2 linked regions of the Arabidopsis thaliana genome follow. The protein of the gene in region 2 interacts with the protein of the main gene of each other region in a pairwise test. Each region holds a gene or a part of one and is shown on either strand. Other genes may lie near its edges. The genes, in order: AtRZ-1b and AT2G44710.

Region 1 (6,704 bases), on a different chromosome or scaffold from region 2:
TGTTTTTGTCTAGTCCACTCTTTGAAGAAAGATGGTTTGTTCCTCCTTATTTTTTTAAACTTTTACTCAATTTTTGTGAATTACACAGTCACCTACACTTTGGAAATTCAGATATTTAAATTACAACAAGGTATTATAAATCATAAAGTTTGGTATCCATTTCACTAAGTGACATTTGTTTTTTTTGTTTTTTTTTACATGTCTTATGTGAGTTATGAATAATTAAATTTGTTTCAAACTTTTACATGTGTAATTTTATGATAAATCTTTTATTTACTTATATACCTAAATAATCAAGTTGAATTTGTGCATAGACAAAAATGAGACATCAAATTAGTTAATCGATAATAGTAGGATTCGCCGGGGAGAAGGAGAAAAAAAATTAGATGCATGGGTCTCAGGTTCGAGTAATAACCAAAATAACTACAACTTCATTTTTGCATAGACGTGGAGATGCTTTTTGGTTAGAAACCTCGACAACCACTAACGAAGATGAGGACAATGAAAACGTTGTGTTTTGACTTTTATGCCCCTCTAAACCCTAAATTCAATAATTTGGGTCGTCACTCGTCAGCAAGCTGGATCTAATCCACCACTCTCTCCAATTGTCATTCACTCCGGTTTTGCTATTTCCAAGGAGAGAAAGATGATAGCTGTGATCGGATTGCTTCTGGGTTTTCTAGTATCAGCATTGTTCTTAATCCAAGGAAAGCGAAGAAGAACAAACGACAATCAAGAGAAGAAGAGATCTAGCAGTGAGCCTGTAGAAGATGTGGTAAGACCAAAAAGTTACAGCAAGAGTGAAGTCGCAGTACATAACAAAAGGAACGATTGTTGGATCATAATCAAAGATAAAGTCTATGATATTACTTCTTATGTTGAAGAACATCCTGGTGGTGACGCTATTCTTGATCATGCTGGTGATGATTCTACTGATGGCTTCTTCGGACCTCAACACGCCACTCGTGTTTTCGACATGATTGAAGATTTCTACATCGGGGAACTTCATTAGTAAAAGCTTAAAGATTTGAGATTTGATTGAAGATTTGAGATTTCTTCTTAAGTAAGCTTAAAGATGGCTTTTTTAATTCTCTTCTCATTGAAGATTTGAGATTGCATTACCTTTTTGTCTTGCTAGTGTAACACTTCTTCTTCCATTGTATTGCCAAAGTTTCCTCCTTTCTCTTAATTTTCATGGTGAAGCTATGCTCTGTTTCAAGTGTTCTATGCTTAACTCTGTCTCAAGTGTTTTAAATCCATCAATTTTGAGTTTAATCTATTGAATTGCTTTATGGGAATCAATAGGATCATAAGAACATAACTTTTTTACTGCGATGAAGAATCATAATATTCGACAAAAAAGCATAACAGAGATCTCGAGTTCGAGTTCTATCTCTGATATAGACCTAAATCCCAAAGCATAAGCATTGACATCTGGTTAACCAAAACAAACTACCAACGTTCATATGATGAAGGTCTGCCTCCAGGACGGCTAGGACGGTCATAAGGACCTGGTCTGCTTCTGTAGGGTCTTCCCTCATCGCGTATCGGTCCCATATCTCCATATCTGTCACTTGTATCCCTTGCGTATCTGTCCCTGTCATAGCTTCTCTCTCTCCCGCGATATTCATTCTCAAGATGATGTTCAGGCATCCCATACCTATCACTCACAAAACGGTCTCCTGGTGGTGCGTATCTACATTGTTAATACATCAAAAGGTCATGACTTTCCTAAAAGAACACATGTTGGAACATTTATTTAGACCTGAGGACAAGAGCTACAAACCTCTCAAATGGATAGTGATCACGAGGCTCATACTTGTCTCCACTGTCGAAGCGGTCCCTGTAGCTATATCGTCCCCCATCTCGGTCACGGCGTCCATCCATGTAGCGGTCAAACTCACGCTCCCGCTCCCGCTCCCTCTCCAGATCACGATCTCCATAGCGATCTCGGTGTCCATCTATGTCTCCAATACGAGAGCGCATCGCAAGGGGAACTCTGAACCGTTCTCGATCGTCACCAGTTGATGGGCAATCTCGAGCCCAATGACCAGGGCGTCTGCATTTAAAGCACTCATCCTCGGTTCCCTTCCCTCGAGATGAATAGCCTCCACCTTTCTTTAATTGGTCTACATCTTCTCCACCAACTTTGGGCTCAGCTTTGTTCACGGAGATGACCTTATTGCCCAACTCCCTTCCATGCATGTGCTTAATTGCATCATCAGCTCCTCTGCGATCAGTGAATGTAATAAACCCAAAACCACGTGGACGCCCAGTATCTCTCCCCACCATAATCTACAAGTACGCAAAGAAGACCAATAATGTTATTAAAATGCATATTGAGCCAGGAACAAGATATATTACTAAGAACCAGATGTTACATTAGAGTTAAGAAATAAGCAGATGTATTACATTCCTATCTCTCATATAGCATGTCCTAGAAGTGGCAAACTCAGAACATTTACAAGCAAACAGAAGACGGTAGCAAGATTCACAAATTTACTTCATTTCAAGTCCTTAGAATCACACAACACAAAGTCAAACTACAGCTGCATACTTGTAGAAATACTAATCCACAAGAAGTATCACCACAACAATAATCCTAGCAAAACGATGTTGGAGATTAGCCTCTAGCCAACCATACTTTTAACCCTTACAACAGACCTGTTACCTCAAATCAGTTTCCCACAACAAATCCACAGGAATGCGTTTTCCATGCTAATTCCACTAAAAAAGAAGACTAATATTCTGATCAAGACCTAAAAAAGAAGACTAATATTCTGATCAAGACCATTTTTGACCAGAAACTTATCATCTTGGTGTATTGATAGACTACTTAGAGATGCTTACATGTGCCAATAACTGTACTTTTACAATTACAACAACTAGTGGCTCATGATGAATGAGTACAAGAAAACCATCTCAGTGACTACTAAAGCAGATACCACAGGCAAGAGAATAAAAGATGGTTAGTCCTGATTGGTGTCAAAACCACTGAAAAGAGAGCTCAGCTGCAATTTAATCATAATATCCAACAAAACACAGTGACGTCAAACCAAAATTACTGCACTGATGCTGAGACAAGAGCCATGATCTATCTCAAAACTCTTGCATTTCTAAACATACGGCTCTCAAACAGATTTTCAGATCAAGAGGAGGTTGAGATGCATGTTTACTTCCTAAGAAAGCTCTACTAATTCCTCGACTGCATCCTTCAACAAGTCAATAAACCTCAATATCTGTGTGTGCTCTTCTACAGAATAGATGAGTCTTAGGTTCATCAAACAAAACTATCCTACAATCTCAGAGGTATCATTCACTAAACACAGGTTTCAAAACGAGTCTCTGAGACTTCTGATCATAAAGTACGAGAATCGATACAAGACCTGACACTCAGTGATTTTCCCGTAGCGGTCAAAGGTACTCTCAAGCTGTCTCTCTGTGACATCCCACGATAACCCTCCCACGAAGATTCTGCTCTCAAGATTTCCATCGTTTTCTCTATCTTTCATTGTGAAACTCTCACTGAAACCAAAAACGCATAAACATAGTTAGCCCACAAAATCAAACTCGAAAAATCAAAGCGAAACTCCAACTCTTACTTAAACAACTCAAAAAAATTCTATTGAAACAAAGATTCGGGTCAATAAACTTGCTGAAATCCGAAGTAAGAAAAAGAAACCCTAGAAATTTCGATATGATAAACCCTAATTACTCACCGCTAATCCAAAGGTCAGACCTTTCTGCGGTTTTGGCGATTGGTGATGGACAATGAAATAACTGCAGAGGATTAACTTCAACTCAATAAGTATATTTATTGGGATAAAATGTTGTCCACTCAATGACTAAAACACCCTTATAAAAGTTACTTAATTTACAAAAATAACCTAAAAACCCTAAAACCCTTCTCTTTAGCAAAGCTTTCCCCTTTTCAGTCTCCAAGCTCTCTTCTGCGGAACTCACGGTACGAAAGTCTCCTCTTTTCTATTTACTTTAATCCGAAGTTTGCTCCTTTACTTTTGATTTGTTGGAGAATTTCGAATTCTAAATTTGGGTTTTGTCTCTGTAGAGTAAACACGAAGTAAAAATGATAAAGAGACGATTTTACAAGCTTGAGCATGGTGATAAAGACAGTGGATCCGATTCATCGTGCTTCTCTTCTGACTCTGATCCTGAGACGGAAGAATCAGAACAATCTGAAGAAGAAGACTCTGTTGCAGAAGTTTCCGAGGACGGTGATGATTCAGGAGATGATGAATCCCCAGGTTTGCTTCTTCAATTGAGCAATTATCTCTTTTAGTTCTCTTGTGATTGTACTCTCAGAGAACCTTTGGTAAAATCTTTGCTTATTCTCTGTTATAGCTGCTGGCGAAGACGCTGATGTTGATGATGGTGATGATAACTCTGATGCTGATGACTATGGTGGGACATTGGAGAAGATGTCAATGAATCGTTTTTTAGAAGAACCACCCGAAGAAGAGGAAGAGAACTATATTCTCGGTTGTATGATACAATCCAAATCGGTTTATAAATGCAGATATTGTCCAACCGTTGTTTGCTTGAATGAGAACACAATGCAAGCACATGTTTCATCAAAGGTAAATTAGGTAGCTTTGAATTAGCATTTGAGTGTTTGGTCCTTTTTGGAATCAAGTAGTAGATGATAAGCACGGGATTAGTTTTGAGCTTTTCCTCATCAGTCTTGTAGTTGATGAGATAGTATTTTTTGTCGTTTGACTCATTTCAGAAGCATGCTCGTATGGAGAAATTAGTGAAAGAAGGAAAGATTAGAACTGATGACGAAGAAGTTGACGATCTAGAGACAGCATCTCAGGTTACATTAGAGAATTTGCCAACGAGTGCTTTTTGTTTTGTCAATGAGTCCTAACCAAATTCTTGCACAAATCTTAAATGTAGGAGAAGGAGAAAAAAGGAAACAGAAGATCACAAAGACAGGGAAAGAGATCTCAAAAACAGGAAAAGGTAAATGTAGCTTGCTCAATACTGAAGCATTGTGACCATGGTTGGTTTGTTGGAAACCTAATTGATTCGTGTTTTCAATATAAACGTCTAGGATTCATTGACCAAAAATGGAGAAAACGAAGAAGTTGAAGATCCAGAGACGCCATCTCAGGTGAGATTTAAGACAATGCCATCAAATGCTTGTGTTAGTCCAATGAGTCCTAACCAAAGTCTTGCAAATATCCTAAATGTAGGAGAAGCAGATAAAAGGAAACAGAAGAGCTCGGAGAGAGCTTAGGAGATCACAAAAACAGGAAAAGGTAAAATTTGCCTGCTCTATAACCCTGTGACCATGGTTGACCTGTCAAAAACCTTATCTATTCGTTTCTTAATATGAACATCCAGGATTCATCGACCAAACATGGAGAAAACGAAGAGGTTGACAATTCAGGGACGCCATCTCAGGTTTTTCTTTTTGACGTTCGAGCAAATGTCAACAAGTGCTTTGTGTTCTTCCCATGAGTCATTTACTCAACCAAATTCTTGCAAAACTACTAAATGTAGGGGAAGCAGATAAAAGAAAACAGTAGAGCACGAAGACAGCGTAAGAGATTAGAAAAACAGGGAAAGGTAAAAGTAGCCTGCTCATTACTGTAACCTTGTGACGATGGATGGTTTGTCTGAAACCTTATTGATTCGTCTTTTTAATATGAACATCCAGGGTTCATTAACCAAACATGGAGAAAACGAAGAAGTTGACAATCCAGAGACACCATCACAGGTTTTCTTTTTGAATTCTAGCAAATGCAAACAAGTGCTTTGTTATTCTTCCGCTGAGACCTAACAAATTGTTTCAAAAATCTTAATTTTAGGAGAAGCAGATAAAAGGAAACAGTAGCTCACGAAGACAGCTTAAGAGATCAGAAAAACAGGAAAAGGTAAATAGCCTGCTCATAATTGTATCCTTGTAACCATTGTTGGTCTGTCAAAACCCCTAATCGATTCATTCTTTCTTACCAATATCCAGATTCCATCGACTAAGGAAGGAGAAAACGAAGATGCATCACAAAAATCTAGAAAGAAAAGGCGTCAAACTAAGGATTGAAACTGCTGTATTGCCCAATATGGTTAGCCAGAAAGATTCATCTTTTTTTACTTGGATGTCGATGAATAGATGAAGAAACATAGGTTGAGAGTGAGTTAATTATGTGCTTTTTAAACTTCAAGTTTTGTCTACCAAATACGGTGCTTGTTATAACTGATATGATTTTGATAATTGAGTTATACAATTCTTTTTTACAAGTTGTATCCTTTTTTCATTTCGAACCATCCCCCTCTTACTCAACGAGAGAGATTGGGAAATAATTGCTTGAAGCAGAAAATCGAATAACAGATTAGTTGAATTAAAAATATGTTTACTTGAAACTATGTTCCTCCAATACCATCAATGATCTCTGGCATTTCCCTCCAATTTCTGTCGTTTTCTCTTCCCAAGTCAGCACTCAGCACTTGTCTTGAGAAAGTTCAAAGACTTGAGTGAAAAAGACAAAAACTTTAATATTTTCTTCTCTTCTTTTAATCTTGGTCTCCACCATAAACAATTATTGATCTACATATCTGTGTAAAACAGTGGAAGTGTACACACGAAATAATATTTTTATGAATGCATTGAAAAAGGAAACAAGTGAGACAAGTGAGATTTGATTAACTTCTCCTACTGCTCTTAAAGTATCAAGAAGCAT
Region 2 (8,660 bases):
CTTCACAAGATCTGTCTTTTTCTTTCCTTCTTCTTCAATTTTTTGATCCATGTCCGATCCGGATTCTCCGATGAACCACGATCCAATTCCGGATCCATCACCTTTAGCTCCCCTCCCGCCACCATTATCTTCCTCCGCTCATGACGATGCGTCAACCGAACCAGCTTCCAACACAGATCTGAAGAGCGCCTCCATCCCCACCGCGTCCAAGAACTCTAGGCGGTTACCTCCGCCGTGCTGGTCTCTGGAAGAGACGATCGCGCTAATTGACGCGTACAGAGACAAATGGTACGCTCTTAACCGTGGAAATCTAAAGGCGAATCACTGGGAAGAAGTTGCAGAAGCGGTTGGTGCTAACTGCCCCGACGTGATTCTTAAGAAAACCGCGGTTCAGTGCCGTCACAAGATGGAGAAGCTCCGGAAAAGGTACCGGACCGAGATACAGAGAGCTAGATCTGTGCCGGTGGCGAGGTTTATATCGTCTTGGGTTCATTTTAAGCGAATGGAAGCTATGGAGAATAGACCAGAGATTAAACAAGGTAACGAAAGTGGAGATGATGATGATCACGATGATGGTAATTACACAGCTAGGTATCAATTCAGCGGCGGAGGAGGAGGAGCGAGGACGACGCCGAGGTTCTTTAACAGGAATGGTACAGCTGGATCTGGTGGTGGTGGAGGGAGTAGTAGTAGCGGCGGGATTCGAATTCGGATACCGACTGGAGTGAGTATAGCACAGCCTGGACCGAGGTTTCCCGGTAAGATTGATCAGAAATACACGGCGAGTCCAAGTGCTGGTGTGAGTTCAAATCCGAGAGCTGGTCGTGGTATCGGAGCAGGAGGATCTAGTTACGGTGCTAGAGTTGTGAGAATTCCTGAAGGAGGAGGGAAACGAGGGAGAGAGATGATGATGAAGACGGAGGAGGATGATAATGATCCAATGGTGGAGATAGCTAGTGCGATAAAGCTGCTTGGAGATACGTTGGTGAGAACAGAGCAGACGAGAATGGAGATGACGAGAGAGATAGAAGCGATGAGGATGGATACAGAGATGAAGAGGACAAAGATGATTTTGGAATCTCAACAACGAATTGTGGAAGCGTTTGCTAAAAGCTTATCAGATTATACTACTACGGAGGAGCAAGACAAGAAGAAGAAAGCTAGATAGAAGAATGTCGTCGTCTTTAGCTGACTCCTGATCAAAAGGCGCCATAAATTAAATTAATGTGTGATTTTCAAATTTTCTAGATTGTAGAAATCGAAAGAGCTTTTATTAGCTTATGCATCTGTCTAACACCAGTAATGTATCCCTGCTTGATTATGTATGTTATAAAGTGTATAAAAATTGGGAGTTCCTCAGTTTCCGACAGTGAGAGGTTGTTAATGTCTCTTCCACAAGTCTCAAGGATAATGTCTCTGTTTTACCACAGTGAGAGTAAAACAGAGCAAGCATCAGATCTAAACAGAAGTAATGCAAATCTTAAGCTGAGAAGACGGTGAAAGCTTAACTAAACTGATGGATCAATAATACAAACACAGCTTAATCTCTGTTCCAACAAATCCATCCATTATTCAAGAGATAGAGATAGATAAGATAGATAACGAGTCCCACAACTATGAACCATCTCTATAAAACTCGAGCTTATCATTCCATCCGAAAAAAGATACAAGTGCAGTTGTAGATGCAAGCCCATTAATATTCCAACAGTCTCACCGAAGCTGGCTTTAATCCTTTCGCAGCTGGTAGCTTCCTTTCTACATACACAACTTTGCATGGCCAAACCTCCTTTTTTAGCAGCCTCGGTCATGTGAAATTCTGTGTTCCATTAACAAACTTAAGCACACATTTGATCTATAGTTCCTGCTTAGAGCTTGAAAGAGGAGATACCGTTTTCTTTCCAACCAACAATATATCCCACAAACAAAACCAAAAAATAATGCACAAAGACACAACTAAAGATGGAAGGAACCAAACACACTCACATTCAGTAGTATGATCCTGGACCACCACCAGAGTAACTACTACCACCCAAGCCACGGCTGGAGTAAATTGAAGAATACGAGCTACCTCCTCCCTGTAAATCCAATACTAAAATGTTACACAACTTGACTTTCCAAAATAAATATAAAAAAGGGGAAAGTGTGAAGCCACTTACATCTCTTCTGGGTAAGTCGCCACCATAGCTTGACGAGTACATACCTCCTACATCGCTGCCACTATAAGAACCTGAAGAAAGCAACATTATGAAATTATAGCCATTGAAGGCAGTAAGTGTATCTCGACGAAGTATTGCTCTCTGTTAAGCCAAGTTCTGAATCAAACCTCCTCCATAATCCATTCCCTGACGACTGCTGTATGGGCCCCGCGAGTCATGATTTGACATAGAATTTCGGCTGCTTCCATATCCTAGACTAGACCTAGGAATCCTAGACCAAACATGGAAGTAAGAAAATAATACACTTGGCACAGAAAATTGCTACCAAAAATAACTGAAGCTATCCATAAAAAGAGAACATACCGGTCCCCGTAGGATTCCCCATATTGAGATGGGCCAACATCATAGTCCAGACGGGGTCTTGAATGACGAACATCAACATCAGCATAACGGGGAGGAAGGTCATCCTGAATAATGAACACTCGTTAGAGTAAACAATCATAGTCTAAAGAAACAAAATTAAGAAGACAAACTGGTCGGAGAAAACAATAAGTCAGACCAGTGCAGCATATGGACGCTTTGATCCAGGAAGAGGTTCATAAGCACGAGGTCTTCCCTCACTGTAACTTGGAGGTCTTTCAAATCTCGGACTGTAAAGGTCATCTACGAATGGCCTCCTAATTTCAGAGCGAGAAGAACTTCTAGGAAGATCTGAATAACCCGAACCCCGGGGTGGATAATCATCTCTGTAAGACAGATGCCTCTCAGGAGAAAGCCTGGAACTATAGCTTACAGCTGGTCTGCTTCTTGGAGGAGGAAGTTCATCACGCCGATCATAGTCTCTCTTCAAGCTAGCCTTTGGATACAGAGGAACTGCAAAACACAATATGGAAGATATGATCAGAATCATTAGATACATGAACACAAAAGAGATTCAACTAAAAAAGATAACTAAACATGTAATAATTCCAGTGGTACCTGGAGGTCTTCTATCATATGACCTAGCAGGTGGTGGCAAGGGCCTGGCTCTTGCAGGTGGTGGCATGGGCCTGGCTCTTGCAGGTGGAGGCAAGGGCCTAGCTCTTGCAGGCGGAGGTAGAGGTGGGCGAGGACGTCTTCCTCTTGATCCAGAAGCTCTCTTTGCACTAGAAGATGGGGCCCGAGATCCAGCGCCTCTAGCACTCCGAGAGGAAGCAAGGCTACGAGGTGGAAGACGAGCAAATGAACTCCTTCCAGACCGTCCAGCCCCATGCCTAGACCGCTGGTCTGAGCGACTAGATTGTCGGCCTTTACCTGCTTTCTGAAGTGGTCTAGACAGGCGTGCTCTCACTTTTGCCTGGAAAAAAAAAGAGAATTAGAAAGCAAGAAAATACTTCGTGGATAAGGATAATGCATTTAAATTATGCATACCTTGTCCTCCCCTTCGCCTAGCTCTGAGTTGTTGATGAATTTGGCACAACTCACAGCAGCTTCATGAGTATCAAAAGTTACAAAGCCAAAATCTTTCCTCCTTGCTGATGGCATATTGCGAGCAAGCTCAACTTTTTCAAGTTTACCATATGGTTTCAGAAGGTCTCTAACACGTTCTTCATTCCATGAAGGTAACAGACCGTCAATGAAGATTGTCTTAACCTGTAACACCAGAAATATCATAAAACTAATTACTATGAGCAAGATAGATAAGTTAGATATAATAGATTCACCAACAATCAATAATTCAGTATCTAGCATGTTGTTAGAGGGCCAAAAGGAATATGTATTCTGACTCTGTTTTCATGATGGGTTTAGCAAGTATTCTAAGTCACCATACAGAATAGGTGGCACCCACACATGCCCCTATAAACTCCTCCAACGCTCTAAAGAAGACATGGTAGGATGAAAGTTGCTAGAAATAATTGATCCTGCAATGTGAGTACCTGCGCCATTATCTCATCTTCCAGGTCTAAGAAAGAATCAGTAAAAGAGACCTTTGCAGGCTTCTCAACTCCAAACATCACATCTTTCTTGACGAGACGCTTGTGAGCATCCATGGCATCTGAGCGAGATGAGAATTCCAAAAAGGCATACCCTCGATTCATGTTGACATTGTTGCTGTCCTCTACCAACGTTATATCATCCATATTCTCAACTCCATAGTGTTTAAGCTTCTCCCTCAACTGGAACAACAACAAATACCTGATTGTCAGGATCACCACGAACTGTGGAGTTGGGTTTAATTGACATATCTACGGACACCCAAATACTTACAGCTTCTGGGGTCCATATCTTGCATATGTTACCAACGAAGAGGGTATCATTATCTTGGCTTGCAGTTACACCACACTTTTTACCATTTATCTGCAGTCCCAATGACCAAGAGCATGATACAAAATGTAAAGCTACACAAACTCTCCATCAAATACTAAAGTGTAGACAATTACCATTGGGCTTTTAAGCTCTTTAACAGCTCGTTTTGCCTGTTCCACAGTTGCAAAACGCAAGAAAGCAGAACCCTTGCTCTTCTTTGTCTGAGGATTCTTCAAAATCCTAACTTCAGTCACCTCGCCCACATGACCAAACACTTTCTTTAAGTCCTCCTCCGAAGCACCTTTGTCCAAACTCCCAACAAATATTTCGAACTCCTTACGCTTACGCCTCTCATGGAGAACATCATGATGCTCTTCTTCTTCCACATCAACAGTTTCTCCATGCTTGACCTCTTCAATAGCATGATCATCATCATCATCCTCACTATCAAGGTCCTCCGCACCATCTCCAATCTCGTCTGCAAACTCACCAGCTTCCTCCTCGACCTCAATCTCTTCCTCCAGTTCTTCCCCCTCCTCATTTACCAACTCATGGTCCTCCTGTCCCAATTCCCTCTCTTCAAACTCCTCCCCGCCATATTCCTCAGCCTCATACTCAGGTTCATTGTCATCTAAATCCAATCTTTCATCTTTTCCAAAATCATCCACAGATTCCTCTACCTCAGTCTCCTCTGCGAGTAAAAGCGAGTAAAACATCTACACTATTCCAGGTAGCCTAAAGTTTGTTCAGAGATAACAATCTCAGAAGATACGTCTATCTTCCACAGAATTAAAAACAGCTAAACATCCATCCTCCAAATTAGATTCATACATTCAATGGTCAGACATTCATTTAATCTCTATGGTCAGATATGTTGGAACTCTAAGTCACAAACTTTCGTCAAAGCGAAACTTAGATCCATCAAAACAACGAAAACGTAGAGAATCCCAAAAACGAAACAAAATTAATAACCAGGCTAAAAGAATCTTACTTTTCGACGGAACATCAACATGCGGATTCGCTGCAGCTTCAGAATCATCAATTGAATCCGATGACTTCGGCACATCTAATGGATTCTCTTCCTCAACAGTTTTATCAACCTCCGGAGTCACCTCCTTGGCTTCCAGTGCATCGGAGCCTGAGAGCTCACCGATATTAACAGATTCGTCATGGGAAGATTCCACGTGAGGATTCTGCGCCTTGAGCGCCGATCTCGTAAGCCTCCCACCTCTTCTCGCGGCGCCTCCCCTCTTCACAACCTTCGGTGGCATCGCTTTCCAATGTATCTTAACCAATCAAAACAAATTAACCAAATTCGATGAACAGAGATCAGAGCTAAGCGACACAATTATCGGGATCGAACAACCCTAGCTCAGCGGATCAACAATGGTATTGAAATCGAGATAGAGAAGAAAACCCTAATTAACGGAGAGATGATAGCCTGAGCTTGGTCTAAAAATAAAAGATAAATAAAATCAATATATTCTATTAAGAAAAAGACGTGGCGATCAAGCTTTTAATTCGGTAATTGTTAACAAACGAAAAACGGTAAGAAGGATTGGCCCAAATATCCTCATCCCCAATGGGCCTTTACTCGTATGGAGTTTCAAGTGTGTTGGTTGACTAATTGTATTACCGATGTTCAGTCCGGTTTTCATTCATTTTCGGTTATCTTTTTTTGGTTTCGTCTTGGTTTATAATTTATATTTGCATTATTCGGTTTAAGAATACAGTTTTCGATGGAATCGGTTTAATGGGCAAGAGAAACACAACACAACAACTCCGATGTAAAATACACTTAACTGAGTGAGTTTACAATAACACAAACTTGATTAGGTGGAACAGAGGAAGATGCTGAAACTGCAACATTAATTGAATAAATCGAGAGTTGAAGACGTAAACGCCGCAACACATTCATAATCTTGTAACACATTGTATTGATATAGACTAACGAAAGTATTAAACATCATCATCTTTAGTCACATGAATTCCTACTTCACTCCTATCCAAAACAATCATTTTACACCAAAGAAAGTAGTACTAGACATGTTTTAACCTGAAAGAGACAGACAATGACACATTCTATAACCGTTAGGGACAATCTCGACAAGTTGAGACGGTTCTGCAGCTCCATGAATTCCTACTTCACTCCTAAGCAAACCAATCATTCTACACCAAATCTCTTTGCTTTCACTAACATTAAGACTTGGTTTTTCCCATATAAACGCCAACTTTCCGTAGTATTCCCCGATTCCAACTGATCGAGCGTTGTCAAGATCAAAACCATAAACCACTCTCCACAGCATCAGTTTAGAGTCATACCACATTAACCCGAATCTAGAGAAGTAAACAAAGAGCACATTGTCAATCACGCACAATCCTACTCTAGACCATTGATCATTAGGCATCTCAGATCTCTGACAAGAACCATCTCTAGTGTCATAACAAGTCATGCCTTCACGAGATCTTAAAGCACAAACCTTCCTGTCAAATGAAACATTTGCTTTACAAATCCACCTGTGACTTTCTTTTTCATCGGGAATCGGCGCTGCTTCCCAAGTTTGCGTATTTAGATCAAAGCTTTCCGCTGCAATCTCGTCGTCCTGATAGCCTCCGATCACATAGACCTTACCGCCGACTAGTCCTACGCAATTGTACCCTCGCTTCACTAGCAAACAAGGTCCTTGACGCAACTCCCCAAATCGGGTGTCAAAGATCGAAAGTCTTGATGAAGGAGTACAAGATTCTGAAATGAAGAAGATCTTTGGACCAACGGCGTTCATGGAAAATCGATTAGGCTCGGAAGGATAAGGGAACTCAATGGATTCGAAGAGATTCTCGGTCGTACTGTTCTCGATTCTCCGGAGAGTGTACCAGTAGTCGTATACGGGGCGATAATTTTCGTCGATGAAGCCGATATAGAGATAATCTTTTCCGAGTAAAGATCGAGCCTTGTGAATTTCAGGCGAGCGAACAAGACTCCGCATGTTCTTGGAGACGGAGCAGAGGATTGGGTAATATCGTTTTGGGACGCGGGCTAAGATCATCGAAATGATTTCCAGTGGCAGTGACAAAAACAATGACGGCGATGCCGATGCCGATGCCGATGACGACGATGGTTGGTCGGTTTTTCGCGGTGGTTCGTTGGAGCTAGACATCGACTCTAGTTTAAAGGAGAAGACTAGAGAATTGAGATTTTATTGATTTATTCTATTTCGGTTTCGGTTATTAGCCAAAAAACAAAACCCGGTTTATTTATTCTTCGATTCTGTTTCAATCGGTTTATTTTGTTTCTTTTTGCGCTAAAACGGTTCTTTGTTGTTGTCTCTTGAACTCAAAGAAGACAAACATTGTTCTTTTACATAGACTGATAGACGAGAATTCGCTTATAATTCTGTTACAAGAATCTCTACTACAAGATCAAACTTTTATAACGAAGATAGCTAATCATACTAAAATCTGCAAGAGTCCTTCATAGAAGAAACACACTAAAAAAGATGTAAAACAAACCAAAGCCAGAGACTTGAGTACACTAGTCAAAGAACATGGCATAAACCGATCTTTCTCTTTCGCTTCTTAGTCTTTGAAGGAGGATGTAAAACTACTTTGATCGCTTCATCAAACACGGCTTTTACGTTCTGCAAATTTAGCATCATCATAAGTCTTTCTTTATCAGATTGAGGTCCAAAATATTTGGTCTAATTGTAAAATGTAACTCAAGCATTAATGGTTACTTTACCATTTGTGCTTTTGAGCTGCACTCTATGTATGCTAATGCTCCTATTTCCTTTCTTAGTTCTTGACCCTATAAAAGAAGCAATCTTTGAGTTATAAAAGAGTTTGATTCTTAACATGGTTCTTGATCATATACATTGAAGAAGAATCTTTAAAAAAACATACCTGTTCTGGGAAGATTGTGCAAGCACCTGGATAATTCTTTGGGAACTGCATGTTGTCTCTTAGATCTGCAATATCAAGAAATTCATCTTATATACTACATAACATCACTTACACATTGATGTTAGATTCCTAACATTCAAGACATAACAGAGTGGTTCATTATCTTCAACCTGATTTGGTTCCCACAAGAACAATAGGCACAGTCGGGGCATAATGTCTCAGCTCGGGTACCCACTGCGAAAGAAAACCGATCCATATGCACATGAGATCAGTGTTGTAAAGTTAAATTACAGTGAAATTAAAAGTAAAAGGAAAGAT

Evidence for each region.
Region 1: the proteins of AT2G44710 (region 2) and AtRZ-1b interact in a two-hybrid assay, tested with the Arabidopsis thaliana proteins (one large-scale study listed by BioGRID).

Annotation. Positions count from the first base shown.
Region 1 is NC_003070.9:22,336,897-22,343,600, reverse strand, and holds AtRZ-1b (RNA-binding (RRM/RBD/RNP motifs) family protein with retrovirus zinc finger-like domain-containing protein), read right to left. Parts: upstream 3,793-6,704; 5' UTR 3,720-3,792; intron 3,715-3,719; exon of another isoform or gene 3,603-3,714; intron 3,526-3,602; 5' UTR 3,513-3,525; coding exon 3,387-3,512; exon of another isoform or gene 2,428-3,386; coding exon of another isoform or gene 2,413-2,427; exon of another isoform or gene 2,382-2,412; intron 2,296-2,381; coding exon 1,787-2,295; intron 1,697-1,786; coding exon 1,453-1,696; 3' UTR 1,304-1,452; downstream 1-1,303. Other genes in the region: CB5LP (cytochrome B5-like protein), read left to right, coding at 647-1,012; AT1G60640 (stress response protein), read left to right, coding at 4,088-4,265, 4,363-4,598, 4,748-4,834, 4,918-4,983, 5,075-5,134, 5,217-5,282, 5,368-5,427, 5,527-5,592 and 3 more. UniProt on the Arabidopsis thaliana protein: Binds RNA and DNA sequences non-specifically. May be involved in tolerance to cold stress.
Region 2 is NC_003071.7:18,429,955-18,438,614, reverse strand, and holds AT2G44710 (RNA-binding (RRM/RBD/RNP motifs) family protein), read right to left. Parts: upstream 5,930-8,660; 5' UTR 5,714-5,929; coding exon 5,434-5,713; intron 5,383-5,433; exon of another isoform or gene 5,159-5,382; coding exon of another isoform or gene 5,134-5,158; coding exon 4,577-5,133; intron 4,494-4,576; coding exon 4,404-4,493; intron 4,313-4,403; coding exon 4,073-4,312; intron 3,789-4,072; coding exon 3,567-3,788; intron 3,493-3,566; coding exon 3,135-3,492; intron 3,030-3,134; coding exon 2,716-3,029; intron 2,624-2,715; coding exon 2,520-2,623; intron 2,428-2,519; coding exon 2,324-2,427; intron 2,228-2,323; coding exon 2,157-2,227; intron 2,076-2,156; coding exon 1,986-2,075; 3' UTR 1,984-1,985; exon of another isoform or gene 1,817-1,983; 3' UTR 1,394-1,816; downstream 1-1,393. Other genes in the region: AT2G44730 (Alcohol dehydrogenase transcription factor Myb/SANT-like family protein), read left to right, coding at 50-1,168; AT2G44700 (Galactose oxidase/kelch repeat superfamily protein), read right to left, coding at 6,494-7,600; ARAC9 (RAC-like 9), read right to left, coding at 7,979-8,080, 8,182-8,247, 8,343-8,407, 8,513-8,576.